Saccharomyces cerevisiae S288C: one gene and its partners. The protein of the gene in region 1 interacts with the protein of each later gene in a pairwise test. Each region holds a gene or a part of one and is shown on either strand. Other genes may lie near its edges.

Region 1 (8,023 bases):
TTTTCCAGTGGGAGAAACAGTGTATGAAGGGATAGATAATAATTTGGTTTTGGAGTAATCCTGCATTCAACATGTATTGAGATACAAGCAGCATGTGATATGAAAATTCGTTACCTTCACAATTATAGCCCATTCTGCTAAGATCCACGAGAAGGCGTCCTGTGCCGCAACCCGGTATCAAAATGTCGGCTTTTGGGGGTGATAGGGTCTTCAAAAACGGTACAAGCCTCGAATTTAAGCAATTACGTTCAGAAATGGCCTCTGCGGACCACTCCCTATAAACTTGCGTAAGTAAAGAGCATGTTTTACTCATATCTAAATCGTTTGGTTGTACGATTTCTCCTGGCTCAAAACTTATTGATTGCAGGGCATATTCGGCGACACTTCTAAAGAACTTGCCATTTTCTATAATTGCGGCTTTCAGATTAGCTAAATATTTTGTATAGTTTGGTACCATGTCTTTTTGACGATCTGAGATCGATGCCCATTTTTTCACTCTCAAATTGTAGATTTCCTTTAGGGCATACTCTTCATACTTAAGAAATGATATGATCACTCGAGCTACAGCTTTATTCTCCCTTTGATTATCAAATTCATTCTCGTCCATAGTCAAAATTACTGATATGTGTTCACCTCTAATTAATTTTCAGATCCTCACCAATTTTTGCCGCTGGTACACCAAAATAACAGTAGCTGATTTTGTATAAATTACAAACTATAGTACGTAAAGGCCTTGTGATTCTCGATCTGGCGATGAAAATTCCCGCCCCTAAAAAAAGTGTATTTCTTGCGGCTAATGGAAGTGAAACAAAAAAGTGCTTGTTTTGCAAAAGTAATTGAAAATTTCCAGTACTATTCTTCCAGCTGTTGTTACGAACTGTTCTTTTCAATGGCAAGCTTCGCTAAGACGCTGAATATGCCGCGTTTGCTGTTGTTTTGCTTGCAGTTTAGCAGTTACAACCCCCAGTCTCCCTAGTACTTTCTACAGTCGTTGATTCGAGATCGATTCGTTGATTATCGGTAATTGTGCGATCATGAGTAGAGCTTTGTCGTGTATTTTGTTCAGGACATGGTACTTTTTCGCCTAATGTTTGAAATATCTGGTAAATATTCTCACCAGTCTTAGCGCTTGCTTCGAAATATAAGAGGTTCTCTCTTTCACAGAGATTTTGTACAGCTGGTGCTTTCATAGCCCTATTTTCATTCTCGTCATCATTATTCAGCAAATCCATTTTGTTCCCCACCAAGGCAATAACGATATCATGTCCTACCTTCTCGTGTAGTTCTTCGACCCAGTTTTGAGCCTTATAAAAAGACCCTTCATTAGTAACATCAAAAACTACCAAAGCAGCTTGAGCATTTCTGTAGTACATAGGCGCTAAAGGAGCAAATCTCTCCTGGCCTGCCGTATCCCATATTTCAAATTTAATGACCTTGCCATCCCTTGTAATTCTCTTTGTTAAAAATGCGGCACCAATAGTAGGTTCTTTGCTCTCTTTAAAATCGTCAGATACAAACCTGAGGACTATTGAGGACTTCCCGACAGCAGATTCTCCGAGTAAGACTACTTTGATAGTTAATGTTGGAATAGCTGCTGTATGTTTATCCATTCTACTTAACTTCGATGCTGAAAAAATGTAATAAATAATTTGAATCTAACTCTATTTGGTCAATATACGTGCATTCAGAAGGCCTTTCCCGACTTATAATATGACAATATTTAATAAATTCTACGGATTTATTTTATTTACATGGGAAGAGGCTTTGCAGTTTAAGGACCCCTTCCGCCCCGGAAATTGACATTTTAGGGTATGGTTGGTCACCAAGGCGTACGCGATAATCAGTTGGAATGGAAAGATAAACTGAGTTTAGGGTATTTTGTAAGAGTGTATTTGATCGGCAACCGAAGATTTTCTTTACTCTTGACTTCATAAAATTTACATATTTACATTTAGCCCTTCTATAACCGTTTTTTTAATTTCCCGATCTGATGAAAAGGATGCAACATCACTCTAAAACGTTGAAAATGGCTCCAATTCATAAGGTCACTTTAGTGTATACAATTTTTAAACTCCCTCCCGATGTATATAAATAACAGTGTATTTAGTTTGAATACTTCTCCCTAATTCTGCGAATACTGTCTTCCAAACTTAATGCCGGATCCGAAAAGAACATCAATGTGGTGTCTTGATTGCTCAATTTTTGAATTGAGTCCATTACTCTTCTCTTCCATTCATCTGCTTTTTTATCCATGAAAGCACCATACATGCCATAGTCATTTTGTGAGGATGGTACATAGTAAGTATTAGCGTCTAAGTTAGGTAACTGTCTGTTCGGCAACGGTGGTGGGGCAACTCTTTTAGCATTGTTCTCATCTTTATTACGGCGTGACATTCTTATACTTTCGGTTTGCTCTTCTGTCAACGATGGCTTTTGAGTGGAAGGAATGGGAGGTGGTGGTGGTCTTCTCCTGGTACGTACGGTAGACTTGGTCATTTGCATGGGCCGTTGTTGTAATTCGATGATATTGTTCACTTCATTCATAACTTCTTCATCATGCGATGGGACATCACTCATGGAATTAGAGCAACATCTTATATAAATAGCCAGAATCTGGTTCGGAAATTGTAAAGCCGTAGTGGTATACGCTTCTAAGTCATGTTCACCAGAATCACCGACCAAAATAAATTTTTTTTTGGGAAAATCCTTTAAGATATTTGCAATCGGCTGAATTTTTCTATTCGCACTTGAAGTCATGATAGTGGAAAAGAAATTACCAGAGTATTGTTTCAAAAAAATTGGACCCGGAGGAAAATTGGCGCAAATATATTGTTTCAAAAGAGTAAAAGTTTGGATGGGTGAATTAGAAACATAAAAGAAATCAACGTCTGCGACATCATGTAAAGTTTTGTACCAAAGAGGAACACCATCTATTACCCACGATTGAACATCATGGATGAAAACATTACGAAACATCGATCTCCTGTCACCCGTAACGCCAGTATGCTTGATGGTGTCGTCAATATCACTGATTAAACCAATACCGTAGGGCGAGACATAATTGGCCGGAAATGTTTCAGATATGGGATCTGCATGGCCTTCTATAGGGGTATCTAATGTAATATTAATCTTGGACGGTAAAAAATCTGTTTCTGCCTTGATTAGTAAATTACCATAAGAGTCCGTGGTACCAAAAAAGGAAGCCGTATCCCCTCTGAGCTTATCTTTGGGCAATAGGTCAACCACCACTGGAGTATTAGGAACTTTTTTGGACAGGAATCCTTGAATTCTCTCATTCAGAACATCTTCCTCTTGGATGCCCATATGTGAATACCTATTTTCGCTCTTTGAAGACAAAGAACTTTCTATACTTGATTGGGAGTCGTTTAAATCTCCAGAATCCTCTTCGAGATGAGGGGGAACAACAGGTGCAACATCGGCCTCCGCCGTTCCAGTTCTAAGATATTGTTTACAAAGAGAAAGCAACCACCTATTTCTCCTGCTTGTAGGATTTCCTGGATAAGAAACAGCACATCTGACAGTAGTTTCAAAATCTTTCCGAGGCGCACTCAAACCGTCAGGGTCAACCAAATTAGTTGTGGTATACGTTGGAAAATATGTTATCGTGGTATTATGTGGCAATTCCATAGGCAAGTCATTATAACCTTCGAAGGAATTCGTAGTGCTCCTGATGCCATCCATTGTCTTTTGAGAAATGGATGACGTCAGGTTAGGAATATAAACATCCTTTGTGGTTCTTATGAGATTCATAAACCGTTGTTTCTTACCCATTCGTGGGTCTCCAGAAGTAGGACCGCTAGTAGCAGCAGTAGAGGAAGAGCTTTCATCGTAACCTTGACTATTCATCTTTTTATTCCTTCTCCAAAGCAATTTTTTCCCCCTTTGACGGAACTTATAGCCAAGTTTCAATGTCCTTGTCTGTGTTAATGGTCCCAAGAAAAGACGGCGATTACTAGACAAACTCTTTATAGCCAACAAACCGACAGAGCTAGAGAAACATATGACACTGTTTATTGAAAGCCTTGTGCAACCCACTATTTGCGATATATATGCCTTAATGATGCTAAATTTTTGCCCTGGATCACGAATAGTATAACAGCTTCGTATACTTTATGTCTCGTGGGCATAAAAAGCCAAGAAAAGATACACAAACCAATCACAATGAACAAGCTAACCGTAAAGGCGTTGCCACCCTATTCTAATGCTTTATCTGTCCGAGAATTGTTGGTAACCTCGTTTGGAAAGTTAGACCGCGCCCTCATCATCATTTGCGCGACCACGTGACCCGCTGCGGCTGCGGTTTGCGCGAAGGTTACAATATCTTCCTACTCGATGACTTTTAACCTTTGGATCAAGAGCACAACGTTCTGCCTGAACTCTTATGCTCATTTTGTGCATACAAGTTGCCTTTTTGTGCCATATTAGGATATATTGCCTTCTGAATAAAACTATTCAATTCTCATCACTTCCGCAGTTAGAGAACGCTTTTATGGCATATTGTTACAAATCATCGCTAAAAAAGATATAAACAGTGACTAATTAGCGTCAGCGCAATTTTTTTGGAGAAGTTATAGAATCAAACAGAGAAAGGGATTGAAACCTCAAATTTTCATCAGATGGTGCACATTACTCTGGGTCAAGCGATATGGGTGTCAGTTAAGCCGATAATCAAGATTTATTTGATTATAGGAGTCGGCTTTCTGATGGCTAAAATGGGAATTCTTACGGTTGAAGCAACAAGAATTATTTCTGATATCGTGCTAACAGTTTTACTACCCTCTCTGTCATTCAACAAGATTGTCGCTAATATTGAAGATAAAGACATCAAATCTGTGGGAATTATCTGTCTGTCTGCCCTCCTAATATTTGGTTCTGGGTTCTTTTTTGCATACGTTGTTAGGCTATTCCTGCCTGTTCCTAAACAATGGTACGGTGGTATTCTTGCCGGTGGTATGTTTCCAAATATAAGTGATTTACCAATTGCATATTTACAATCTATGGACCAAGGGCTTGTATTTTCGGAAGAAGAAGGTAACAAAGGTGTGGCTAACGTCATTATATTTCTGACAATGTTTCTAATTTGCATTTTCAATTTGGGGGGGTTTCGACTGATTGAAAGCGATTTCGAGTACAACGACGATGAAAGCGCCGTTAGGGTTTCAGAAACGACAAAGACACAGCCCGCAGTAAGTGCAAACACAACTAATACAGATACTAGCGAGCGTTTCTTCTCAAACGAACAACAGCTTTTCAACAATAAGTACACCGCTCGCGATAGTCTCACTGAAGCTATAGGTACAAAGGGTGAAAACGCAGACGTACCACCAATTTCAAGGAGATCAACAAATAGTATAGCTCCCCTGTCACTACCAGACACTTCTTCGAATTCAAAGATTACAAAACCAGTTCAGGTGAAGGCAAGAAATACTATTGCGTGCACTCAAAGCGAAGAGTCACAGGCAACTCGTGGTTCAAATCCATTAGATAGCCAATCATCTGCTTCAACAATACATTCTTATAATACGTCAGAGAGTTATGAGAGTAGCATAGATACTATGAGAGCACGTAGAACCGCGAGCCAGCCGAGAGCTTACAATACTACCACACTCCTAGAAGAGAACTGTTTAGATGAAAAATGCCCAAAAAATATGTCTATGGCGGCATTGGAACCTATCCGCTCCATTGATATGCGTGCATTACCTTCTCAAAATATACACCATCTTATCAGAGAGTACTCCAACGTTGACCAGTATGGTCATCAAAGGAGGAATTCCAGTTTACGCGGCGCTGATATGAATGATGTGCATTCAATTAGCTCAAATTCCACTTTACAGACTATAAAAACTGCTAACCTAACCAGGATCTTAACATCAGATGCCACTGTAAGTAAAAAGGATATTGAAACATCCGGCGAATCATTACCACAGTGGATGAGAAAATTTTCATTAACTCCATTACTTGTGTTTTTCCTAAAGAATTGTTTGAGACCGTGCTCTATGGCCGTGATCATCGCCCTAACTGTTGCATTTATCCCATGGGTCAAGGCTTTGTTCGTGACTACCGCTAATACTCCTCACATAAGCCAAGCTCCTGACAATGCACCACCATTAAGCTTTTTCATGGATTTTACAGGTTATGTCGGTGCCGCATGTGTTCCATTTGGGTTGATATTATTAGGAGCAACTTTAGGAAGATTAAAGATTGGCAACCTTTATCCTGGATTTTGGAAAGCCGCTGTGACACTCGTCATTTTGAGACAATGTGTCATGCCAATTTTTGGTGTCCTATGGTGTGATCGGTTAGTGAAAGCTGGATGGGTTAATTGGCAAGATGATAGAATGCTACTATTTGTTATAGCAATCAGCTGGAACTTGCCAACGATGACTACCCTTATATATTTCACCGCCAGTTTTACGCCGCCAGAAACAACTGCGCCAATCCAAATGGAGTGTGTTTCATTTTTCTTAATGCTGCAATACCCGCTAATGGTTGTTAGCTTGCCATTTTTAGTGTCTTACTTTCTGAAAGTACAGATGAACCTTTAGTTTTAATCCATTAAACAAAAAATTATTACCACTCCTAATCACTGTTTTAGGGTGGGTTAAAATTAACATTCTCCATTTTTATATAGAACTAATAAAAAACACCTACTTATAGACACGACCAAACTTTCCACAACCTTTCATCAGAGAGAAATGTTGATCAAGTTGAATGCGTGAAAGTAGCAATTCGAAACAACAACTACCTGTCATTCTGCATAGTAGTAGTTACGAAAGGCACAGAAAATAACAAAAAAAAAAAAAAAGTCAATTTTCTACGGTCTCCATCCGTACCTCTTTAAATCCGTACATTATTGTTTTGCTTAATTTCAATATTTCGGAAAAAGCGAGCGCCCTGGTAAAATGTGGTTCAAGCCTGCGAGCCTTTGCTTGGTAACTCACCAAATGCAATTCAGTCACGTTCCACACAGTTTGGGTTTCCAGCCTGGCTTTAGGGAAGAATGGGCTCACTAGGCGTTCATAATACGCGGAGGGGGAAATACCAAATGCTATTGATTATGGTTAAAATATGTGTTATTTGACTTTGTATATACAAACAGAAGAGAAACCAACACACTAAAGACTAGACACATAACTGACCAATGTCCTCTGTCCAATCCAAGATCTTATCCCAAGCTCCAAGTGAGTTGGAATTACAAGTCGCCAAGACCTTCATCGATCTAGAAAGCTCCTCTCCAGAACTAAAGGCTGACTTGAGACCATTGCAAATCAAATCTATCAGAGAAGTATGTTAAAAGTTATATAATTTGGAAGCAGCAACATTGTGATTTCTTCTAAAGGGGTTCTTTGCAGTAATTTTTTCAAAAAAGAGTGATTTTGAGCAGTATCTGTATGAAATTTTCATGTGTTCGAGAAAAATAGTAATTCCGAGAGCTGTCAATACCATGAACGTTGCGATGAGCCTTTGAACTATAAAGGCCTCCTTGGTCAGTACCAATATCGATGAATAAAATAGAAGCACGCGAAAAAGACCTTACCCCAAGGAGAAGAATCACAAACCCTTTTTTGTTATGAATGAACCAATTCAGTTACTAACTTTATTTCAACGCTGCTTGATTCTTATTGTTTAGATTGATGTCACCGGTGGTAAGAAAGCACTAGTCCTTTTTGTCCCAGTTCCAGCTTTGTCTGCATACCATAAGGTCCAAACCAAATTGACCCGTGAATTGGAAAAGAAATTCCCTGACCGTCATGTTATTTTCTTGGCTGAAAGAAGAATCTTGCCAAAACCATCTAGAACATCTAGACAAGTCCAAAAGAGACCAAGATCCAGAACTTTGACTGCTGTTCACGACAAGGTTTTGGAAGACATGGTTTTCCCAACTGAAATTGTCGGTAAAAGAGTTAGATATTTGGTTGGTGGTAACAAGATCCAAAAGGTTTTGTTAGACTCCAAGGATGTTCAACAAATCGACTACAAGTTGGAATCTTTCCAAGCTGTC
Region 2 (8,057 bases), on another chromosome or scaffold:
GAAAAATATTAGAGTTCTGAGAACCATTTCACCCGCAGCAGTGGAGTTATCAGAAACTGTTTGTGTAGATAACTCATGGCCCGACAAAGTGGATTATTCTATTTCAGTACCCAACAAAGCCGTAGCTATTGGTTCAGCCACCCCTATAAATATTTCCATTGTACCTCTTTCGAAAGGTTTGAAATTGGGCTCAATCAAAGTCGTATTATTTGAGAATTATCAATATTGTGACCCCTTCCCTCCAGTAATTTCTGAAAATAGGCAAGTGACAGAACTAAATCTTGAAGATCCCTTGAACGAGTCATCTGGAGAATTTAATGGTAATGGTTGCTTTGTAAATAACCCCTTTTTTCAGCCTGATCATTCATTCCAAGACAAGTGGGAGATTGATACCATCCTGCAAATCCCGAACAGCTTATCAAACTGTGTGCAAGATTGTGATGTCCGCTCTAACATTAAGGTTCGCCATAAGCTCAAATTTTTCATCATCCTAATTAACCCAGATGGTCATAAATCTGAGTTAAGAGCGTCCTTACCGATTCAACTTTTTATTTCACCATTTGTGGCACTTTCAATAAAACCATTGTCATCCTCGAATTTGTATTCGCTTTTTAGCACCACTAACCAGAAAGACGAAAACTCATCACAAGAAGAGGAAGAGGAATATCTGTTTTCTAGATCAGCATCAGTCACAGGGTTGGAATTATTAGCGGATATGCGTAGCGGTGGCTCTGTTCCTACCATTTCAGACTTGATGACGCCCCCAAATTATGAAATGCACGTATATGATCGTCTTTATAGCGGTTCTTTCACTCGCACGGCTGTGGAAACGTCTGGAACATGTACTCCTTTGGGAAGCGAATGTTCGACTGTCGAGGATCAGCAACAGGATTTAGAAGATTTACGTATACGGTTGACAAAAATTAGAAATCAACGTGACAATCTAGGGCTACCACCGTCTGCCTCGTCTGCTGCCGCTTCCAGATCGCTATCTCCATTACTAAACGTTCCAGCACCAGAGGATGGCACGGAGAGAATCTTACCTCAGAGTGCTCTTGGTCCCAATAGTGGCTCTGTGCCAGGAGTACATAGTAACGTATCACCTGTTTTACTTTCAAGATCCCCAGCCCCAAGCGTGTCAGCCCATGAAGTGTTACCAGTGCCCTCGGGCTTAAATTATCCAGAGACTCAAAACCTGAACAAGGTTCCATCGTATGGCAAGGCAATGAAATATGATATCATTGGTGAGGACCTTCCTCCTTCCTACCCTTGTGCGATACAAAATGTGCAACCAAGAAAACCCAGTAGGGTACATTCCAGGAACTCTTCGACAACATTGTCATCTTCTATACCAACTAGCTTTCATTCCTCTAGTTTTATGAGTAGCACTGCTTCCCCTATTTCCATAATTAATGGCTCTAGAAGTAGTTCTAGTGGGGTATCTCTTAATACACTTAATGAGTTAACTTCGAAAACTTCGAATAACCCATCCAGTAATAGTATGAAAAGGTCACCAACAAGACGGAGGGCTACTTCTTTAGCTGGGTTTATGGGAGGTTTTCTATCAAAGGGTAACAAACGATAGTCGCCGATATTGTTTCGGCTCGTGCATTAAGCTTGTATAGTTTCATATAGAAAGTGATGTATATAGCATTTACGCACTCTAACTGGCATTTTAAAGAAAAAGGGATAAATGCAATGTTTGGCGTGCGGCAGTATAAGTTCAAAAAAATCCACTGCATTGTTGAAAAGAGTCAGGTCGATCCTGCTATTGGTTTTCAGTTTGAGGGATCCTTTGATTTGCTAGATATCATAAGATAAATGGTCCACCATAAAGTAATTAAATCTTGAAATTAAATTCTTATTCCATTAGAGACAGAGAAACTATTCATTGTACATTCTCCAAATGTGGTGATATAAACACTACATTCGCTAAATTACATTATATTATTTCGAGCTTTGTCTTGTTTATATTTAGTTACGTTGGGATCAAGTTTTAAAAAACTAGATCTGGAGTGACCAAAAAAAAAATACCCAGCGTAAGGTAAATATTATGGATATGCTTTGGAAGAAAAGAATTTTGAGACTTACACATTATTCGGCACAGTAGGTACTAGAAAGCATAGAATCACATTCGCCTTTAAAGACATTCTTTTTTCTTGCTCCTTCTATGGACTGCGACACAATAGTTGTTTTTGTGTCGTACCGAAGAAAAAGCCTTGTGCAGAAAGCAAAAATAGTACACTTCTAGCCTTGATTACCAAGAGTTATGACAAAAATTTGCAGTTCAGAGTATACCTTAAAAACTGTTCCTAAGGTCAAATAAAGAGGAAAATAATCAAACTAATTATTCATTAATTGAACGAACCAATAATAACGAGAGAATCAGTATCACAAAAAAAATTTCAACCTACAAGAGGAAACATGTATTCTATTTCAAACAAAAAACCTTCTATACTCAGTATGGTTCCCCTGAATATTTTGAAAAACCAGGATTTGAAAGTAAAAAAAGATCAAGAAAAGAAAATATCATTTAACCCCGTAGTTACTCCTATTAGGCCAGACGACTACCACGAAAAAACATCCAGATCGTCAAGTTCGAGCCATTCTGATTCACCTGAATTTTTGAGAATTAACAACAACAAATCCGGTCACAAGAATGGAAAATTGAAAAGTTTTGAAAGTAAAAAACTAGTTCCGCTATTCATTGGTGACCTCCATGAAACAGTTACTGAAGAAACTTTAAAAGGGATCTTCAAAAAATATCCCTCTTTTGTCTCTGCTAAAGTTTGTCTTGATTCAGTGACAAAAAAATCACTGGGCCATGGTTACTTAAATTTTGAAGACAAAGAAGAAGCTGAAAAGGCTATGGAAGAATTAAATTACACGAAGGTTAATGGTAAAGAAATTAGGATTATGCCATCATTGAGGAATACAACGTTTAGAAAGAATTTCGGCACTAATGTCTTTTTCTCTAATCTACCTCTAAATAATCCATTATTAACAACAAGAGTATTCTATGATACGTTTTCTAGATATGGTAAAATTCTATCATGCAAATTAGACTCTAGGAAAGATATAGGATTTGTTTACTTTGAGGACGAAAAAACTGCGAGAAATGTGATCAAAATGTACAATAATACCAGTTTTTTTGGTAAGAAAATTCTATGTGGAATACATTTTGATAAAGAGGTCAGAAGTGTTCCAAATTTTGAAACACAAAAATCACGATTAGATGCGGAAACAATTATTGAAAAAGAGCAATCTTTGAATGAGAAACACTCCAAGGGGAATGATAAGGAATCTAAAAATATTTACTCTTCATCCCAAAATTCTATATTCATCAAAAACCTTCCAACAATAACTACAAGGGATGATATTTTAAATTTCTTCAGTGAAGTGGGTCCAATTAAGTCAATTTATCTATCCAATGCCACTAAAGTTAAATATCTTTGGGCATTTGTTACATATAAAAATAGCAGTGACTCAGAAAAGGCAATTAAACGCTACAATAATTTTTATTTCAGAGGTAAAAAGCTTTTAGTAACCAGGGCACAGGATAAAGAAGAAAGAGCCAAATTTATAGAATCTCAAAAAATATCTACACTTTTCCTGGAAAATTTAAGCGCTGTCTGCAATAAGGAATTTCTTAAATATTTATGTCACCAAGAAAATATTAGACCGTTCAAGATTCAGATAGATGGATATGACGAAAATTCTTCTACATATTCTGGGTTCATCAAATTCAGGAATTTTGAAGATGCTACGAGAATATTTAACTTTTTGAATAACCGTTTAGTAGGAGGAAGCATCGTCACGACATCTTGGGAAAGACAAAATAATGCACCTAAATATCATGATGGTTATGGAATGCGCAATATACACACCTCTTCTCATCCACAAATTACCCCATATTACCAGTACTCACATGCGAATAGTTTGAACTCCCCACACATGAGAGATCTTTCGTCAATGAATAGCAGCACAAGATCACTAATAAAGAATAAAAATTTCAATAAGAAAGTTTTGGAAACATTCGAAAAGCAAGTAAGAAGAGGTATAGATTTCATGAGATTTCCAAGTGCCACTAGAGACGAAAATGTGCACGGAATAGCTGAGTATATATTCGACACTTATTGGAATCGCGATGTGTTAATATTGGACAAATTTTTATCGTTGCTAAATAGTAGTCCATATCATGAAGGTGTATTGCAAAAACAAATTGAAGAGGCTGCAAGCTCGTTAGGATTTAAAAGATGAATGTCTCTTTGTTAATTTAGCTAGAGTTTTCCTTATTTATTTTTTTTATTTACACTAATTCAATCTTTTTCGTTATATTTAGATATTATTAAAAATTATTATTATGGAAAAAATTCTTAAAAGGATAGACAGAGGGACGCCGTCTGCTATATGATATGTATTTAGGTCCGAGTGCTGATAAACTGTAAGGCAAAAGGTATAAGTGTAAATCAATAACGTTTCTCGTATTCTTTACTCTCCTTCAAATTTTTTAAACTAGTTCAACGTAATTTGCTGGGAATATACCTTCTCTACCGTTGACTCTTCCGGTCCACCAGTCATTTTGAGAATCTGATTTTTTCAAAATTGTGATCACGTCACCCTTTCTGAATGGTAAATCTCCGGACTCTTCTCCTGCAAAGCTATATAATGCCACGGCCTTTGGAGAAGACGTGGATGGGGATGTTGGAGCAGTGAATCTGCCCTGACTAGTTTGCGGTGTTGAAGCGGACGAGATTCTAGATTTAGAAAATCTGTTCGACAAGTCATCGACTTCACGGTCTTTTGTCCTATCTCTTCCATTCCCGCGTCTATACCCGGATTCATAATCATCATCATAATCATCGTATTCATCATCAGCCCAACGATTTCTTGAAGAACGAGCCCTTGACTGAGCAGTTCCTGATCTTCTGTGGCTGGCATAATAACTTGAAGCTCCAGATGGGTCATCCAATTTACCACCACTACCGCCACTGTTGGTAGGAGCCAGTCTTGAATTCCTTGAATAGCCAGTACCATAATCATCATCGTCATCATCATCGTCGAACGTATAACGAGAACCGCTTTGGGCTCTTCTCCTTGTGGATCTTGTGTTAGGTCTAGTGGAGGAAGCATCTGTAGAACTGAATGAACTAGGAATGTCATTATAGTAATCGTCGTCGTCATAGTAATCGTCTTCGTCGTCATCGAAACTGCCACGACCACCGTTGGAGGGTCTGTAATTAAACGCCCTGGACTCTAAAACACGAAACAATGGATCAACTGCTGGAGGCGGTCTTATCCTACCAGACAAAATCATTTTCGCGGTACAATTGTCACCATAAAATTTTCTGTTAGCCTCTCTTCTTTCTATAATAGCCGAACCTTCCACAGAAACCCCTGCAAATAGACCTTTACTCTTAGAATAGGCAAAAACTGCAGCCACACCACCGGCGGAGGCTGATGCAGCTGCTTCTGCACTTCTACCAAGAGGCCCAGCAGAAACGGAGACGTTACCACCCAACGTGATGGTCCCAAATTCAGAAAACGACTTAACAGCATCCTGAGTATTTAAAATGAAAACAAAATCAGTCAATTCTATACCAACCATCCCACCGGCACCAGCACCTGCCATGGCAATGGCAGATGGAGCTGACCAAGTACCATCCTTTAATCTTGCGACAATCACACCAGAACCAGCTCTACCTGAAAATAGAAAACCTGCTTTTAAGATCGTTATGATAGCCAACCCTTTAGCTCTTTTCAAAACGTCTGGAGGAATGACTTGGTCCGCACCAAAAACTTGGTTTGGTTTGACAAAACTAGCCAAAATCTTCGCTGCTTTTCTTTATTAATTGTTTATTACTAGTTAGTAAATGATGAACAAATTAAGGGAGAACTTTTTTAAAGGTTTCCCAGCCAAACCCGTATAAAACATACTTTGTCTCACTCTTTAAACTCCTTGGAATAGGATTGTTAATACCCATTGCGTGTGATACAGCTTTTGTTTTTGATTTCTTTGCCACCCGTGATCCAAAGCCGTTCTAGATTTCTTCGATAGTTTATACTCTTTCATGTTGAACTTCCAGATGCGGCCGAGTCGGCGAGCAAACAGGGTGCTGCTACTAAACGAACAATAAAGAAAGACAATTTGGGCACCCAATATAAAATGAGCAGTCAATTCAATCAATTCAGTGTGAAATTTTTTTCTTGGAAAGATCATTCACTTCTACACAGCTGTACATGAGTTTATATGACAGTTTTTTTTTATGTACATCCAGTTCAAGATAATCAGATTATATATTGGCCCAAAAGGGATCATTAACGAATTGCGAAATGGGTAATCTCTTTACAGTTAACAGATTCTCTGGTGATTGGCTTTCCTCAAGGTAGCAAATATACTCTAATTGTAGCACGTCTACTATGTATTTCTTTACCTTGTCATAGCACACACCCACTTGCGCCACGCCGTGTGCGTCATCACTTAGAACAAATCTGGATCCACAGTGCTTCTTGACCAGATTACATAAGGTTTTGCTGGGGTACGGCTCCTCGAGGCGCTTTCTTAATGCGGACGTATTGATTTCAATTGCGCCGCCATAGGAGTCTATAAATTGTAAATTTCTTACAACTGCATCGTATATTTCTGGCCATTCACTGATGACGTCCAGTGAAGCTACAGGAACTCCGGTTTCTTCGTTGCAGTTGCCCGATTTCTGGTTTACTAGCATGTCATTGGGCAAAAATAATTTGTAAAGGTCGAAGTGACCCACGACCAACGGTTTAATATTGATCAGCATTTCGTACTGTGATTGGAAGTAAGACAGGAGAAAATGTTTCAAATTATCATTGAAGGAATGCAATGAATTGTACCATTGTTGTTGGTCGAAATCAATAGGGATCCCGTTGACGTGATGGACCGAACCCACACAAAACTTCAAAATATCATTATTCTCCTTCATGAGTCGCTTTGCATATTCGATATGAGCCATGTCACAACTTTCGATCTCCATTCCTATAATGAATTTAGTCCGCACATCGGGTCTATCAGCATAACGAGTCTTGATTTCTTGCGCATGACTCATGAAATTCTTGAACGATGTTTCTAGCTTGGTTATGACTTCCTCAGGATTCTTGCCCAATGACTGCTCTTCGGGGTATATAAACTTGGCCTCAATTCTTGGTATGTGCTCTGTCAAACAGTACGTGTGAAAGTTGAGGTTGACCACTTGATCGACCACGGAATCCAAAGGGTCCGTACCGTGGGCACTATAGTCACCGGAGTGTGAATGGTGTGAGTGCATGACCTCGAGGATTTTTACTGAATTGTACGTATCAAGAAGTACTAAAATGTGTTTGAAAGGGAAAGATTGTACGGGAAATGGAAAATGTACATATAATATCCAGTATCATTTGAGTTGATAGAGATTATCTCTATAGATAGAGAGATTTGACAAAAAAAATAAAAAAATTTAAATGGACGAGTCCGGAATCGAACCGGAGACCTCTCCCATGCTAAGGGAGCGCGCTACCGACTACGCCACACGCCCGAACGTTTGTTGAAATCTTCCAAACAGAAATGATACAGGTTTACTTTACAGCAAGACATTAGTAGTTTCATTAGCTTATCAACATGTATGAAACCGGCAAGATTGAAAGCTTGATTGCCCTTGACGAGCTACTCAAATGTGTAAATATCTGCACAATCAGTTTACACTCATGTTTCCGCGCTTTTACCCTCCATCTAGATTAAAATCTTATATGGATTATTTGGGATAAATAGCATTTAGTAAATCAAATTGATAAAAAAAAGAATAGCATTTAGGTATGCAGAATATACTAGAAGCTGTCCTCACTGATCCTGAATCCAAAAAAGAGAATTCTACGTAATAATATTATCACCTCTTCCTCCATTTTATATGCTGTCATTCATTATCCTATTCCATTACCAATCCTTGCATTTCAGCCTCCATTAAATCCGATGGTTGTTTCTCAACTTTTATGCCATCTTCTTATACCCATATAATGATATATTAGTAGGAAGAAACACTAATCGATAG
Region 3 (5,639 bases), on another chromosome or scaffold:
ATTGAACAAGTCTTGGAAATTAAAGGCCAATGCATTTAATAAAGAAGCCTTGAGCCGAATAAAAAATCTACAGAAACTAACTACTGGTTTAGAACAAGAAGACTGTTCCATTTGTCTAAACAAAATAAAACCTTGCCAAGCCATTTTTATATCACCATGTGCCCATAGTTGGCATTTTCATTGTGTAAGAAGATTGGTTATTATGAATTATCCTCAATTCATGTGTCCGAACTGTAGGACAAACTGTGATTTGGAGACTACCTTGGAATCCGAATCTGAATCCGAATTCGAAAACGAGGACGAAGATGAGCCAGACATTGAAATGGATATAGACATGGAAATAAATAACAATTTAGGTGTTCGCCTAGTAGATTGATCACATGAAATTTTGTGCTATATATATATATATATATATATATATATATAACATAGAGTCGTCATACCTCTCAAAAAAGTGGCGGCCAGGGAAAATATTTAATAGTTTCAGTTCATTCCTTCGTTCATTTACAGTAACTTGTAGGAAATAGACCTTTCAATCCGTCACATTCACCATATGTCCACCCGCTACCGTCATCGCCTCTGATAACAGTAATTATGTCCCCCGGATCAATTGAAATCTCATCATCTCCCTGTGCTTCGTAGGCATATATGGCCTCCATCGTCCTAACAGGTAGTGTACTCCTTCTTGGTGGTGGTACTTCTGGTGCAGGGCCTCTATCATTTGCTTTAACTGTAGCCGCGCTAGATATGCGAATATATGTGGTGGGTACAAGGCCGGTTTCCCCAGTGGTGTCGTTATTTATCTTAGTCCATCCAGAACCCGTATCGCGTGCAACCAAAGAGATTTTGTCTCCTGGCGTAATGGTGATTTCGTCATCATCCTTTTGTACGTATGCATACAACACTTTATTCTTGCCGTCATCACTGGAATTTTGTGTGGTCTTTTTTGTATTGTTGGTACTAGTGGTGCGTATAGAATTATTATCTGAATCTTCACCAGCGTTGTTAGGGGCAGAGCCTAGCCTAGTTCTTCTTGATGTGTTGAAGAGACTTGTTATATGCAAGGGTCCTCCGTTGCCATTACCAGTGCTCCCTCCACTCGAAGGCTTCGAGTCGACGTTCAGGATGTTGTGTTTGAACTTACTGAATATCCCGGATTTCTTCTTTGTTTTGGAAAGATCAATATTGTCTGTGGATAAATCGTATTCTTCAGGAACATTATTCTGAATACTTTCGATTTGAACTTCGGCTTGCAATTTTAATGTTTCGTGTGAGGTAAAGGGTGAAACGACATTTAAGTATTCCTTTAGTGTATCATAAAACTTAGTGGCATTGATATTATCTTCATTAGTTTTCATTTCGTGCTTTATCTTGTTCAAAGTAGACAGTTTGGATAACTCATTTTGAGTTTTATCTTGCAATGAATTGTAATCATTTTCTGCTTTTGCCAGTTTTATTCTCAAGTCTTCAACTTCCAACGACGAGGGAACAGCAAATTTTTCATCATCATGCCATACTGGAGATGGCTTATAGACAAAGTCTTGTGGTTCTTTCCAATTCTTTAGATTGTGCTTGATAAAGATGGCCGTGTTTAAAGAGGGTTTATTCTGCTTGACAACAGAATTTGCCGCCTGGAGTCTTTTGCTGACATTTGCACCCAGATCGTTCTCGACAGAAGCCGCCTTCAACCACAGATCATTTAAGAAAAGGGTCTTTGCCTCATTTACGTCTTGTAGAAGATCTAGCACTTCAGGAACATCTTGAAAATAGTATTTATCCTTAGTTCTATTTGCCTGGTTGATCTTGATTAAATATTCATTTTTACACTTGTTCATCTCCATTTCTTTTTCATCCAACTTCTTTTTATTTCTATCATTAGATGCCTTGGTATACCTATTTCTTGCCATTTCCATAGTGGAACAGGCTTCATCATAGTCCTTCTTCGCTTTTTCCAGTTCGTGGTAAATGTTATCCTTTTTATTAACCATGTCATTGTTAAATCCATTTATCTTGCTCAAAGTCATATCAAGTTTAGTGAATAATCCACTCAATTGATTTGCTACATGATTTTCAAAGTCGGTTGATAACTGATCATGATCCTTGGAAATCATATCAGTCTGAGATAGAATTTCATTCCATGCAACCACACCTGCAGCTTCAATGGACCCTGGCGTGGTAGTAGGTGTGTCACCTACCGAGATAGGAACTGAGGTCGAAGACTTCTTATTAAAGTACTCTGCTGATAAGCGAGATAATCTCTCGCTGTAGTCTTTTTCTAACTTAGCCCTTTCCCGATAAAATTGCTCAATGTCCTTCAACCATTTTAAGTTATTTTGGACCCATTTATGGGTTTCCTTAAATGAATCTTTAATTTCATTACCAATCGATAAATCTGCACTCATTTTTATTGCAAGTAATGTAGTAGTTGGCGTTTAAGGATAGATTTCCGCTCATACAAAATTGATCAATCTGCTACCTTCTTCAAAAACTATTTGCGTACAAACTAAATCTGTCTATTCCTTTGCTAAGCGTATATTCTTTTAAAAACTTTTTATTTTTCTGAAGACCCCGCGAAAGCTTATGTAGATCACAAGATATTATATATATTTACTATTTGTAAAATACAAAAGAGGGCAATAAATATACCGGATTATGAATCATCTAACAATTGCAGTTTAGACAACAATTTCAGATTCTATGGAAGTGTAGCGTTCAAAAAATTCCTTAAATAACTTGATTTGGAACTCCAGGTCTGCAGAGCCACCGGTCTCTCTAATCGAATGCATACTCAACACAGGATTACCCAAGTCTAGAGTTCTAATACCTGTCTTTGAGGCCAAAATGGGGCCGATGGTAGAACCGCATGGTGAGTCGTTAGCTACGACAAACAATTGCAAAGGGACTTTAGCAGCCTCTGCTAGTCTTTTCACCAAGACCAACCCTGGTGAATTGGTCATGTAACGTTGATTCGCGTTAATCTTGATTACGGGACCACCACCCAATAAGGGTTTGTGTTGGCTTTCGTATTTGTTTGCATAGTTTGGATGAACTGCATGAGCAACATCAGATGAAAGGAAAAACGACTTAGCGGAAGTTTCCAATATTGCCGAGTGAAACAAAGGTTTAGTTTGATCAGAACCGTCCCCCTTCAGGATGGACAACCTTTCCAATATATTAGGCAAGAAGTTAGAATCTGCCCCTTGGGCGGAGGATGAGCCAATCTCCTCATGATCAAAGCATGCCATCAATCTAATGCCTGATTCTCGGTCAATTTCTGTGTCAGCCGCCAACGTTAAACCGTGCATTGATGTGAAACAAGATGTCAAATTATCCAATCGACCAGAGAAGACAAACTCATCGTTGAACCCACCTAGAGTGGATGCATTATGATCATAAAGGATCAATTCGAAGTCTTCAATGTCTTCAATTGTATCAATGGCGAGTTCTTTGGCTATTAGCCCCAAAAGTTCTGCGTGATGCCTCTGTACTATCGTTTTTATGGAGGTAAACTCACCGTTATTAATTTCCTTTTCAGTTTTCGCTTCAGTTTTGTCTTCTTGCAGACCACCAATCGGCAACAGTTGAGTTTCTCTATTAAACTCGAATTTTTGATTTACGTCTCTGTCCAGATGAATAGCCAAAGTAGGAATCTTTAACAGAGGTCTATTCAAATCCACCAATCTAGCAATGGATTTGCCAGTTTTCGCATCCTTTACGAAAACTCTTCCGGCAACGCCCAAATCCTTATCAAACCATGAATGCCAAATAGCGCCACCATAAGTTTCCACGCCCACTTGTAAATACTTCTCACTGACTCTTTTAGAAATAGGCTTAATCCTTAATGCGGGGGAGTCGGTGTGAGCACCCGTAATGGCAATTGGATTACCAGGCTCCCACTTTCCACCAACAGCAAACGCAATAATGGAAGAGCCATTTCTTGTCACAAAGTACTTTCCTTTTTGTGCGACGTGGCCAGCCCACGAGTCACGTTCGCTCAACTCTTTGAAGCCATTTGACACCAGATGCTTTTTGATGTTATGAACTGTATGGTAAGGAGAGTGTGAGCTATTTAAGAAACTGACAAACTCCTTTGGGTAATCACTCTTGCATGTTTTGCTGGACATAGTTCTCAGTTGTATCCTGAACATAGAAAAGCTGAACCTTTTATTCTTTCTTTTTACCTACTTGCTCACATAACATGAATTTTTTCTTTCATTCATACAGGAGGAAAACGCCCTTTTTTCTTTCATTTAAGAGCGTGGAGATATCTGCAACTTTTCAGCAAGTATGATAAGGCTAAAATGATAAGGAATAGAAAACCGTAGCCAGAAACTAGTATCTCGAAAGCCAAGGCAGGCTTCTGTTGCAAAAATAAGCAGACCTTAAACTAAAGGAGTTTACTCCTTGGCGGAACACTGAATCACATTATATACGTAAGTTGAACGGGACTATTTATCACGTGTGATTATGTGGTCTCCATGTCAGTCGCAATATTTACAGTATATATAAGGGAAAGAGGGCCAGTTGTAATAATTGTAGTACGTGAAATAACTGTTTCTGAAGTCCTTCACATACGCTTTGGTACGGGATTAACCACTTACTGATAGACCTCAAGGATATCTTGTGAGTTCTTGTCAAATGGTGAAACTGTGGTTTCTATTTTTTTGCGGTGTTTAATTCAGAGTGCGATCACTTGATGGGTTTATGCAACACGCGATATATAAGCATATTGCGCAACAATAGATCGTTGCAATCCCTCCATCTCTTCAAATGTTGTAGTACATGCTATAAAGGAAAGATTGCACGAAAAGAGTACGTAAGATGGTGGACTTGTCAACAGCTTTGATTCATGGCGATGATAAAGATAACAGGGTTACTGACGTGGCGCCCCCAATTAATGTCTCTACAACCTTCCGTTACGACGATGACGACCTAATTCCATGGACAGAGCGTGAAAACTTGGACTTTATGGAGAAGAAGCCCGTATATTCACGGCTAGCGCATCCAAATAGCACCAGATTAGAGAGTATCTTCTCAGAGATCCTCGATGGTTATGCTGTCATTTATTCTTCAGGGTTAGCTGCGTTCTATGCGGCAATGGTACATTACAACCCTAAGAAGATCTTTATCGGACAGAGCTACCATGGTGTTCGAGCAATTGCTAACATATTGACCCGTAATTACGGCATTGAGCAACACCCCTTGGAAGATATTGAAAAATGTGCTTCTGAAGGTGACATTGTCCATCTGGAATCTCCTGTAAACCCATATGGTACCTCTTCTGATATCGAGAGTTTGGCCCGCAGAGCTCATGCAAAAGGCGCCCTGCTTATAGTGGATTCCACATTCGCATCTCCTCCATTGCAATACGCATGGAATTTCGGAGCCGATATTGTCCTATACTCTGCTACTAAGTACTTTGGTGGTCATTCTGACTTGTTAAGTGGCGTCCTTGTAGTCAAAGAGGAAGCAACTTCCCGACAACTAAAAGACGACAGAATCTACTTGGGTACAAACGTGGCAAATTTGGAAAGTTTCATGTTGTTGCGATCCCTGAGAACCTACGAAATGAGAATAACCAAACAATCAGAAAATGCTACGAAATTAGTTAGATTTTTGTCAGATCACCAATCTGAATT
Region 4 (7,800 bases), on another chromosome or scaffold:
AACCTATTAGATGGTCTCATTGGTTGAGCTCTTATGCAACATACTTCACCGAAGATTACAAGAGACTGGGTCAAATACTACACAGATTGAATCAATCACCACTGGGTGCAGGCGCTCTTGCTGGTCATCCTTACGGCATTGATAGAGAATTTTTGGCTGAAGGTTTGGGTTTCAATAGTGTAATTGGTAACTCCTTGGTTGCTGTTTCTGATAGAGATTTCATCGTGGAGTTGATGTTTTGGGGAACTTTGTTCATGAACCATATTTCTCGTTTTGCTGAAGATTTGATTATATATTGTACAGCAGAATTTGGTTTCATACAGTTGAGCGACGCCTATTCAACAGGTTCTTCTTTAATGCCTCAGAAGAAGAATGCAGACTCGTTAGAGTTGTTAAGAGGTAAATCCGGTAGAGTATTTGGTGATCTGACAGGATTCTTGATGAGTTTGAAGGGTATCCCATCTACTTATGATAAAGACATGCAAGAAGACAAAGAGCCACTATTCGATTGCTTAACAACTGTAGAGCACTCCATGCTGATTGCCACAGGTGTTATTTCTACCTTAACTGTAAATAAGGAAAAGATGGAAGCTGCTCTCACGATGGATATGCTAGCTACCGACTTGGCAGATTACTTGGTCAGAAAGGGTGTTCCATTCAGAGAGACTCATCACATATCTGGTGAGTGTGTCGCTACTGCTGAAAGACTTGGTCTAAGCGGTATTGATAAATTAACCTTGGAGCAGTATCAAAAGATCGATTCGAGATTCGGACAAGATCTTTTTGAAACTTTTAACTTTGAACAAAGCGTTGAAAGACGAGATGCTACTGGTGGAACCGCTAAATCTGCTGTATTGAAGCAATTGGATAATTTGAAATCCCAATTAAATTAGCAGATGGCGACGTTATGCGCAAGAATTTCATCAGGTCTGGTACTTCTAGGACTTCATCAACCCTTCTTTAAATACTTATTTTGTTATTAGTATTATATTTTCGAGATTGTGCTATGTATATATATACGTAGATAAGCAATTGTTATCTAATCAAGGATATTATTTGGATGATTTAGAAGATGACCGGCAAAAAAACGAAATAATGCTGCTATATACCTTGGCTAATCTTCCTCTCAAGCGTTTCAGGGAAAGACGTGTGTGATGGTTGAATATAAGTGAAGCAAATGGCCATGAGACTAAATAACTAAAACGGCCGCAATAATACACACTATTGTAACCTCCCAAAGTCGTTAACCAACTTAGCAGTTGTCTTAGTTTATACCCATTCGCACTCATTATCATTTTGTAAACTGGATAATGTAGGGCCTCGTGAATGTCTGAACCGGCCATTCTCAAAAATTTATAGTTCGATGGTTGTGACCCAATCTGCAGGATTCCAAGCTTGATTGTGGAAACATTTAACCTTTGATATTCCTTGAAAATTTTAAATAGTGAGTCGATTATTCCAGACGTTATAATTTCTGTACTATGATGGACTAAGTTCAGGTCCGCAGTCAAAGATGGATTGAACATAATTAGTTGGGTTTTTCTCTTCAAATGGGGTATAATGCTTAATAATGCTTGATAATACACAAATATACTTGAATGAATTTCAGATTCCAATGAGTCACATGAAATTACTCCGGATGGATGATATGATAACCTTGGCATAAACAATATGGATGCTAGCCTTGGTACATCAACAAAAAAACCCTCGAAGTCTTTTTCGCAGGTGGGATCAATGTAATATATGAAATCCTGATCTTCTTCGTGCTTCTTATAGACGTCTGCATTTTCAGTACAAATATATACTGTAAACCGTCTGCGATATAAATCCATCACTTGATTCCTTATGATAGGATCATTCATATCGCCCAGTATTAATACCACTTGAGATTCTGCTTCAGGTAAATTAGGTGGCAGTTTAAAAAAGGTCCTATACCCAAGGTATAAGCACAGGGAGGTGGCAGAAATTCCCAAGCCTAGCTTCCAATGATCCTGGAGCCCGATCCTCAAAGTTTTATATACTTTAGATCTGTTACTGTCGTTTTCCTGTAGTCGAGGAGTCTCCTTGTTGGATATCTTTCCAGATATGGATTCAATTGATTTTTCGACGTGGTTCTTGATCTCATCGCTCAAGACAGCGCTTTTCGAGACGAGCCAATACCCAGCATCAAATATCTGATCCACTATATCCTTACCACCAGACCAAGCCATTTTTATTTGTTTTTTTGAGAGCAAATATCTTCTGTTGTCTGTTTTATATTTCCTGTTTGTATGCCACCTACAACATTTTTACATGTTCCGACGCTGACCGAAAACGACCTGAAGGGAATTAAAGTTGACTACCCCCTAACTAGACCCTGTTCTTAACATTATCTATAACATGAAACTATCTTACACTTCACAGTAAAATTTTCAAGAGTAGTGGTAATATCAAATCCAAAATCCAAAAATGGGTATCAATAATCCAATTCCTCGAAGCTTGAAAAGCGAGACCAAGTATGTTCATATATATGCTTCCTGCTGCCCCTCCTCTAAACTTATGGATGCAGCTAAAATGTTCAAGATAGCTCTCTAGTCTGTGTCCATTGCTTATGGGGCATGAGTTTTCAAAAGTAATGTACTAACAACTTTATGATTGATTTATTTCGAATGTTTTAACTACAGGAAGGCCGCGAAAGTTCTAAGGAGTTTTGTTAAACCAAATCAAGTATTTGGAGCAGACCAAGTTATTCCACCATATGTGCTAAAAAGAGCTAAAGGTCTAGCAATTATCACGGTTTTAAAGGCTGGCTTCTTGTTTTCAGGGAGAGCAGGTTCTGGGGTGATTGTGGCCAGGTTAAAAGACGGTACATGGTCGGCTCCCTCTGCTATCGCTATGGCAGGTGCTGGTGCAGGTGGTATGGTCGGCGTTGAATTGACAGATTTTGTTTTTATTTTAAATTCGGAAGAGGCAGTGAGGTCCTTTTCTGAATTTGGTACAATTACTTTAGGTGGTAATGTGTCAGTTTCCGCAGGTCCTCTTGGAAGAAGTGCAGAAGCTGCAGCTTCTGCATCCACAGGTGGTGTCTCGGCAGTTTTTGCCTATTCCAAAAGCAAAGGTTTATTTGCCGGTGTGTCTGTGGAAGGTTCAGCCATCTTGGAGAGAAGGGAAGCTAATCGAAAGTTTTACGGCGATAACTGTACATCAAAGATGATTTTGTCAGGTAGAGTAAAAGTTCCACCAGCAGCAGACCCCCTACTCCGTATCTTGGAATCAAGAGCGTTCAACTTTACACGCCACGACCATGATGACAACGCTAGCGGTGATGATTTTTATGATGACGGTCAATACAGCGACAACACAAGCCATTATTACGACGATATTCCAGATTCCTTTGATTCTACTGATGAATCCTCAACACGTCCAAACACAAGATCATCAAGAAGAAGAGGAATGTCGCTGGGGTCACGCAGTCGTTATGATGATGATTATGATGATGATGGTTACGGACGTGGTCGCGGGTATGGAGATTTTGATAGCGAAGATGAAGATTATGATTACGGAAGATCTCCAAATAGAAACAGCAGCCGCAATAGAGGCCCACAGATAGATAGGGGTACTAAGCCGCGTGCGAATACCCGATGGGAAGATGATTTGTATGATAGAGATACTGAATACTCCCGTCCCAACCATTCCGGTAGGGATTATGATAATACCCGAGGAAATAGGCGTGGTTATGGTAGAGAAAGGGGTTATAGCCTTGGTCATGGCCCAACTCACCCCAGCAATATGAGCAATGTCGATGATTTATCACATAAAATGTCGAAGACAGGGTTAGGTAATGAATCCACTGCTACAAATTCGGCGACACCAACGGCTGTTGCTCTCTACAATTTTGCTGGAGAACAACCAGGCGACTTGGCTTTCAAAAAAGGTGATGTTATTACTATCTTAAAAAAATCAGATTCTCAAAATGATTGGTGGACAGGCAGGACTAACGGAAAAGAAGGAATATTCCCTGCAAACTACGTTAGAGTTTCTTAAATTATCGTCCTCCATATGTCTCGTTCCTATATATAGAATTTTTTTTTAGAGTTATGAAGTTGAGGATGGGTTCCTTATTCAGCTATGTTTACGAAATGTTTGTAGTTATATAATCACAATGGAAAGCTTCGAGGAACCACTTCTTAAGTACTCACTTAGTAGGTGGAGTATTTCTTGAAACTGGACTATACGCCATTAAACTAAAAAAAAATCGAGGCTGAAACTCCTTGGAATAATTCTGGGTAGATTAAGATAGCAAAGAAAACAATACTCTATTTTTATAGACATACGTACTTTTGTACCGAAAATTGCATATTGATGAACCTGCCTTCTTCCTTTAAAAGGAATCAAACTGTAAATCCGAGGCTTTCAGCAGCTCTAGTGACTTGTTTTTGTAGAATTTTCTGTGATTCTAATGAAGTATTTGTCATTAATAAAAAGTGCGATAGCCTTTCTGAGTCATGCTCCCAAAATACGTCAAAAATAAACTCGGAAATGCTGCGCAGATTTTCTTCTTTATTTAAACCAGAAATACTTATACGTTGTAAATTTCTGTTTATAATTTTTTTTAAGGACTCAAGTATTTCTGCATTCTCCTGTTTAGTTCTCTTAGGCTGATGCAGTTTTTCGTCAACAGTATTTGTAATTAAATTAAATGCTGGATGAGGTTTCATCGGCGTAGCTACGAGAGAGTTCATGTTTGTGTAGGAATTTGAATATGATGAGAATGGGGAAACTACTTGTTGAAACTGTGACGTTAATCCCTTTTGATGAGCTGATAACTCTTGTGTGCGGAAACGCATCATGGAACTAATGTTGATTAATTTCTTATAATTTTCATTGTTGTTACCATCGTCATAGTCTATCTCATTTAGTATATTATCATTATTCTTTGACCATGATGCCTCAACCAAACTACTTCCAATTAGTCTCCTATCCAAAATATTAAATAATCTCTCAGCATCACTACGAGAAAAACACTCAACATGTCCACAAAATGTCCAATTTAATGAGTTATAGTTTGTGATCTTAATTTCACTGAATCTTATTTTTTCTTGTAAACATAGTTGAGAAATAAACTCCTTATTGCAATTGAAGCTTAAATTTTTTAGATAAACCTTTGTTTTCTTGTTCGTTCCAATTTGATTATGAACAGGCTTATCTTTACCAGGACCAACCCAAATGGTATGGTTTTTAAAAATTGTTTTATTCAAACATTTCTGTGCCTTTTTAGATTCTTCTTCATTTTTATATGTGACGAACGCTTTATGTGGTGTGTTCGCCTGCTTTTCAGAGATGAATACAGATTTTATGGGGCCAATAGTGCTGAAGTAATCCAAGACCTCTTCTTGTGTTGTGTCAGATGGTAAATTTTTGACTAATATTGTTTTCGAACGAGCATTATCTGATAAATTATTGCTAGCCAATAGTTCGTCTTCGATAACTATGTCGGAGCCAATCATTTTTTTTCTTTTTGTAAATTCAGGTCTAGTTCTTACTTCTTTGTCAAAATGCAATCCACATATAATTTTATTTCCAAAAAATTCTTGGTTATTGTATTTTTTGATTACATTTCTAGCAGAAATATCGTTATCGAAATAAACGAACCCAATGTTTTTTCTTCTTTCTAGAAGACATGACAGTACATTTCCGTACTCGATCATTATTAGATAAAATGATCTTGTGGTCAGTTGGGGATTTTCCAGTGGTAAGTTAGAGAAAAAAACATTTGTTCCGATGTTTTTTCTAAATAATGTATTTTTCATAGATGGCATTATTTTAACTTCTTGACCAAAAAAAACCGTATAATTAAATTCTTTCCTTGCAGATTCTGCATCGTTTTTATCCTTGAAATTCAAATAGCCATAACCCAATGATTTTTTGGTGAGAAAATCACGACACACTTTAGCAGATTCAAAAGATTGATACCTTTTGAATATCTTCCTTAGCATTTCTTCAGTGACAGTTGATTTCAGATTTCCTATAAACAAACTATTTGTCTTTGAAGTTTTCGTGATATATTTTTGCACGCTTCCCTTTGCAACAGTTTTTTCAAATACTTGCTCTTGTTCTTTCTTTTCTTGAGTTGCATTTTTACAATCGTATTTTTTGAGGCTATTCTTTTCTTTGACTTCAGCATCCTTTAATTTCACATCACCGAGCTTATATCCAGCTCCTTGCACGCGTACTAGTGCTTGGGCTGATATCGTTTTGAAGCTTTTCTGCCTTGCATCTTTATCATTTGGGCAACTTTTAGAAATCGATCTGGGATTTTGCTTGCTATTTAAAGAGATATTATTCAATACATTACCATGAGAGTTTGGCATCTTTTTTTAGGGAATTTTTCGTATTTCTGCTTTTATTGACTTGGATAATTCATTATGTTAAGTAAGCTCTAATTGCTAAAAATGCCATAAAAAGAAAACTTATTGGAAAAGGACCGCCATTTCGAACGGAATTTGTGACACAAGTTCATTTTAGCAAAAAAAGGTCCTACCCGGATTCGAACCGGGGTTGTCCGGATCAAAACCGAAAGTGATAACCACTACACTATAGGACCGGAACTTACTGGTCGATCTGAAAATCATGATCGAATACGTCATCCTTGCATTACCCAAAATCAATCAATTTTTAATGAAATACATCAAATTTTGATTGTTGTTATGAAACTTCAAAATATCATCCGTTTATTAGTACTCACGCTACTAGTTTATTGTCAAATAAGTTGTAAGAAGATGGCATAAACATTGAGAAACAGTCATCAATTCTAATGAAAGCAGAAATGCAAGGATTGACAATGTAATAGGGTAATGAAAAATATAGAACGGAAGGAGAAATAATCATAATAACCTTATGTCGAAATACAGATTCTGAGAATTAGGTGAATTTTGAGATAATTGTTGGGATTCCATTTTTGATAAAGGCTATTATATTAGGTATACACAATATACTAGAAGTTCTCCTCGAGGATTTAGGAATCCTCAAAATGGAATCTATATTTCTACAACCTAATATTACGATTATTCCTCATTCCGTTTTATATGTTTCATTATCTTATTACATTATCAATCCTTGCACTTCAGCTTCCTCTAACTTCGATGACAGCTTCTCATAACTTATTTCATCATCTAACACCGTATATGATAATATATTGATAGTATAATTATTGGTTGATAGACGATAGTGGATTTTTAATTACATTTTGAGGATTCTTATGTTCTGGTGGATAACTACTAGTATATTCTGCATAGCTGATATCATAGCCTTCACCAACAAGGAAATCGCAACAATCATTAAATCATTCACTCAATATTCATAATCAATGGATGATGTTAAATTCTTATTTTAACATTTAGTTTGTGATTTCCGGTAAAAGGGTAGTGTTGTTTTTTTGAGAGCCTTTTCTGACGGACAAATGGTCGCAGGAAATATAAATTTATATTTAGTAATACGCAATCGCATACACATAAAAGAAGCCGAAATATTTTATCAAATACAATAGAAGCTAAAAGCAAGAATTGATAATGTAATAGGATAAAGTAATATAGTTATGGAGATTTATCGACGCCTTTTTGTGGATTCCAAGACCCTCGAGAAGAACTTCTAGTATACTCTGTGTACGAATATTATAGCCTTTCTTCAACAATGGATTTCAAACAATTATCCAATTATTCACCCAAAATTTAATATAAAACATACAAGGATTGCAATTTCAATTGACTTATACTAAGGCATAAGATCCTGATATTATGCTTACGACTTATATAATAAGTGGCA

The links.
Region 2: the proteins of APP1 (region 1) and LSB3 interact in binary tests that used the Saccharomyces cerevisiae proteins (3 or more experiments, as listed by UniProt).
Region 3: the proteins of APP1 (region 1) and BZZ1 interact in binary tests that used the Saccharomyces cerevisiae proteins (3 or more experiments, as listed by UniProt).
Region 4: the proteins of APP1 (region 1) and YSC84 interact in binary tests that used the Saccharomyces cerevisiae proteins (3 or more experiments, as listed by UniProt).

What each region holds. Positions count from the first base shown.
Region 1 is NC_001146.8:443,455-451,477, reverse strand, and holds APP1 (phosphatidate phosphatase APP1), read right to left. Parts: upstream 3,868-8,023; coding exon 2,104-3,867; downstream 1-2,103. Other genes in the region: YNL092W (S-adenosylmethionine-dependent methyltransferase), read right to left, coding at 1-607; Rab family GTPase YPT53, read right to left, coding at 948-1,610; YNL095C (uncharacterized protein), read left to right, coding at 4,638-6,566; 40S ribosomal protein eS7 RPS7B, read left to right, coding at 7,163-7,306, 7,652-8,023. UniProt on the Saccharomyces cerevisiae protein: Mg(2+)-dependent phosphatidate (PA) phosphatase which catalyzes the dephosphorylation of PA to yield diacylglycerol. May play a role in vesicular trafficking through its PAP activity at cortical actin patches.
Region 2 is NC_001138.5:197,450-205,506, forward strand, and holds LSB3 (Lsb3p), read right to left. Parts: upstream 5,985-8,057; coding exon 5,938-5,984; intron 5,844-5,937; coding exon 4,511-5,843; downstream 1-4,510. Other genes in the region: ROG3 (Rog3p), read left to right, coding at 1-1,585; PES4 (Pes4p), read left to right, coding at 2,425-4,260; HIS2 (histidinol-phosphatase), read right to left, coding at 6,294-7,301.
Region 3 is NC_001140.6:334,846-340,484, reverse strand, and holds BZZ1 (Bzz1p), read right to left. Parts: upstream 2,403-5,639; coding exon 501-2,402; downstream 1-500. Other genes in the region: ubiquitin-conjugating protein DMA1, read left to right, coding at 1-376; APE4 (aspartyl aminopeptidase), read right to left, coding at 2,676-4,148; YHR112C (putative cystathionine beta-lyase), read left to right, coding at 4,822-5,639. UniProt on the Saccharomyces cerevisiae protein: Plays a role in endocytosis and trafficking to the vacuole. Functions with type I myosins to restore polarity of the actin cytoskeleton after NaCl stress.
Region 4 is NC_001140.6:133,104-140,903, reverse strand, and holds YSC84 (Ysc84p), read left to right. Parts: upstream 1-2,448; coding exon 2,449-2,495; intron 2,496-2,663; coding exon 2,664-4,023; downstream 4,024-7,800. Other genes in the region: argininosuccinate lyase ARG4, read left to right, coding at 1-893; YSC83 (Ysc83p), read right to left, coding at 1,053-2,210; MIP6 (Mip6p), read right to left, coding at 4,371-6,350. UniProt on the Saccharomyces cerevisiae protein: Essential for the organization of the actin cytoskeleton, fluid phase endocytosis and vesicle trafficking, together with LSB5.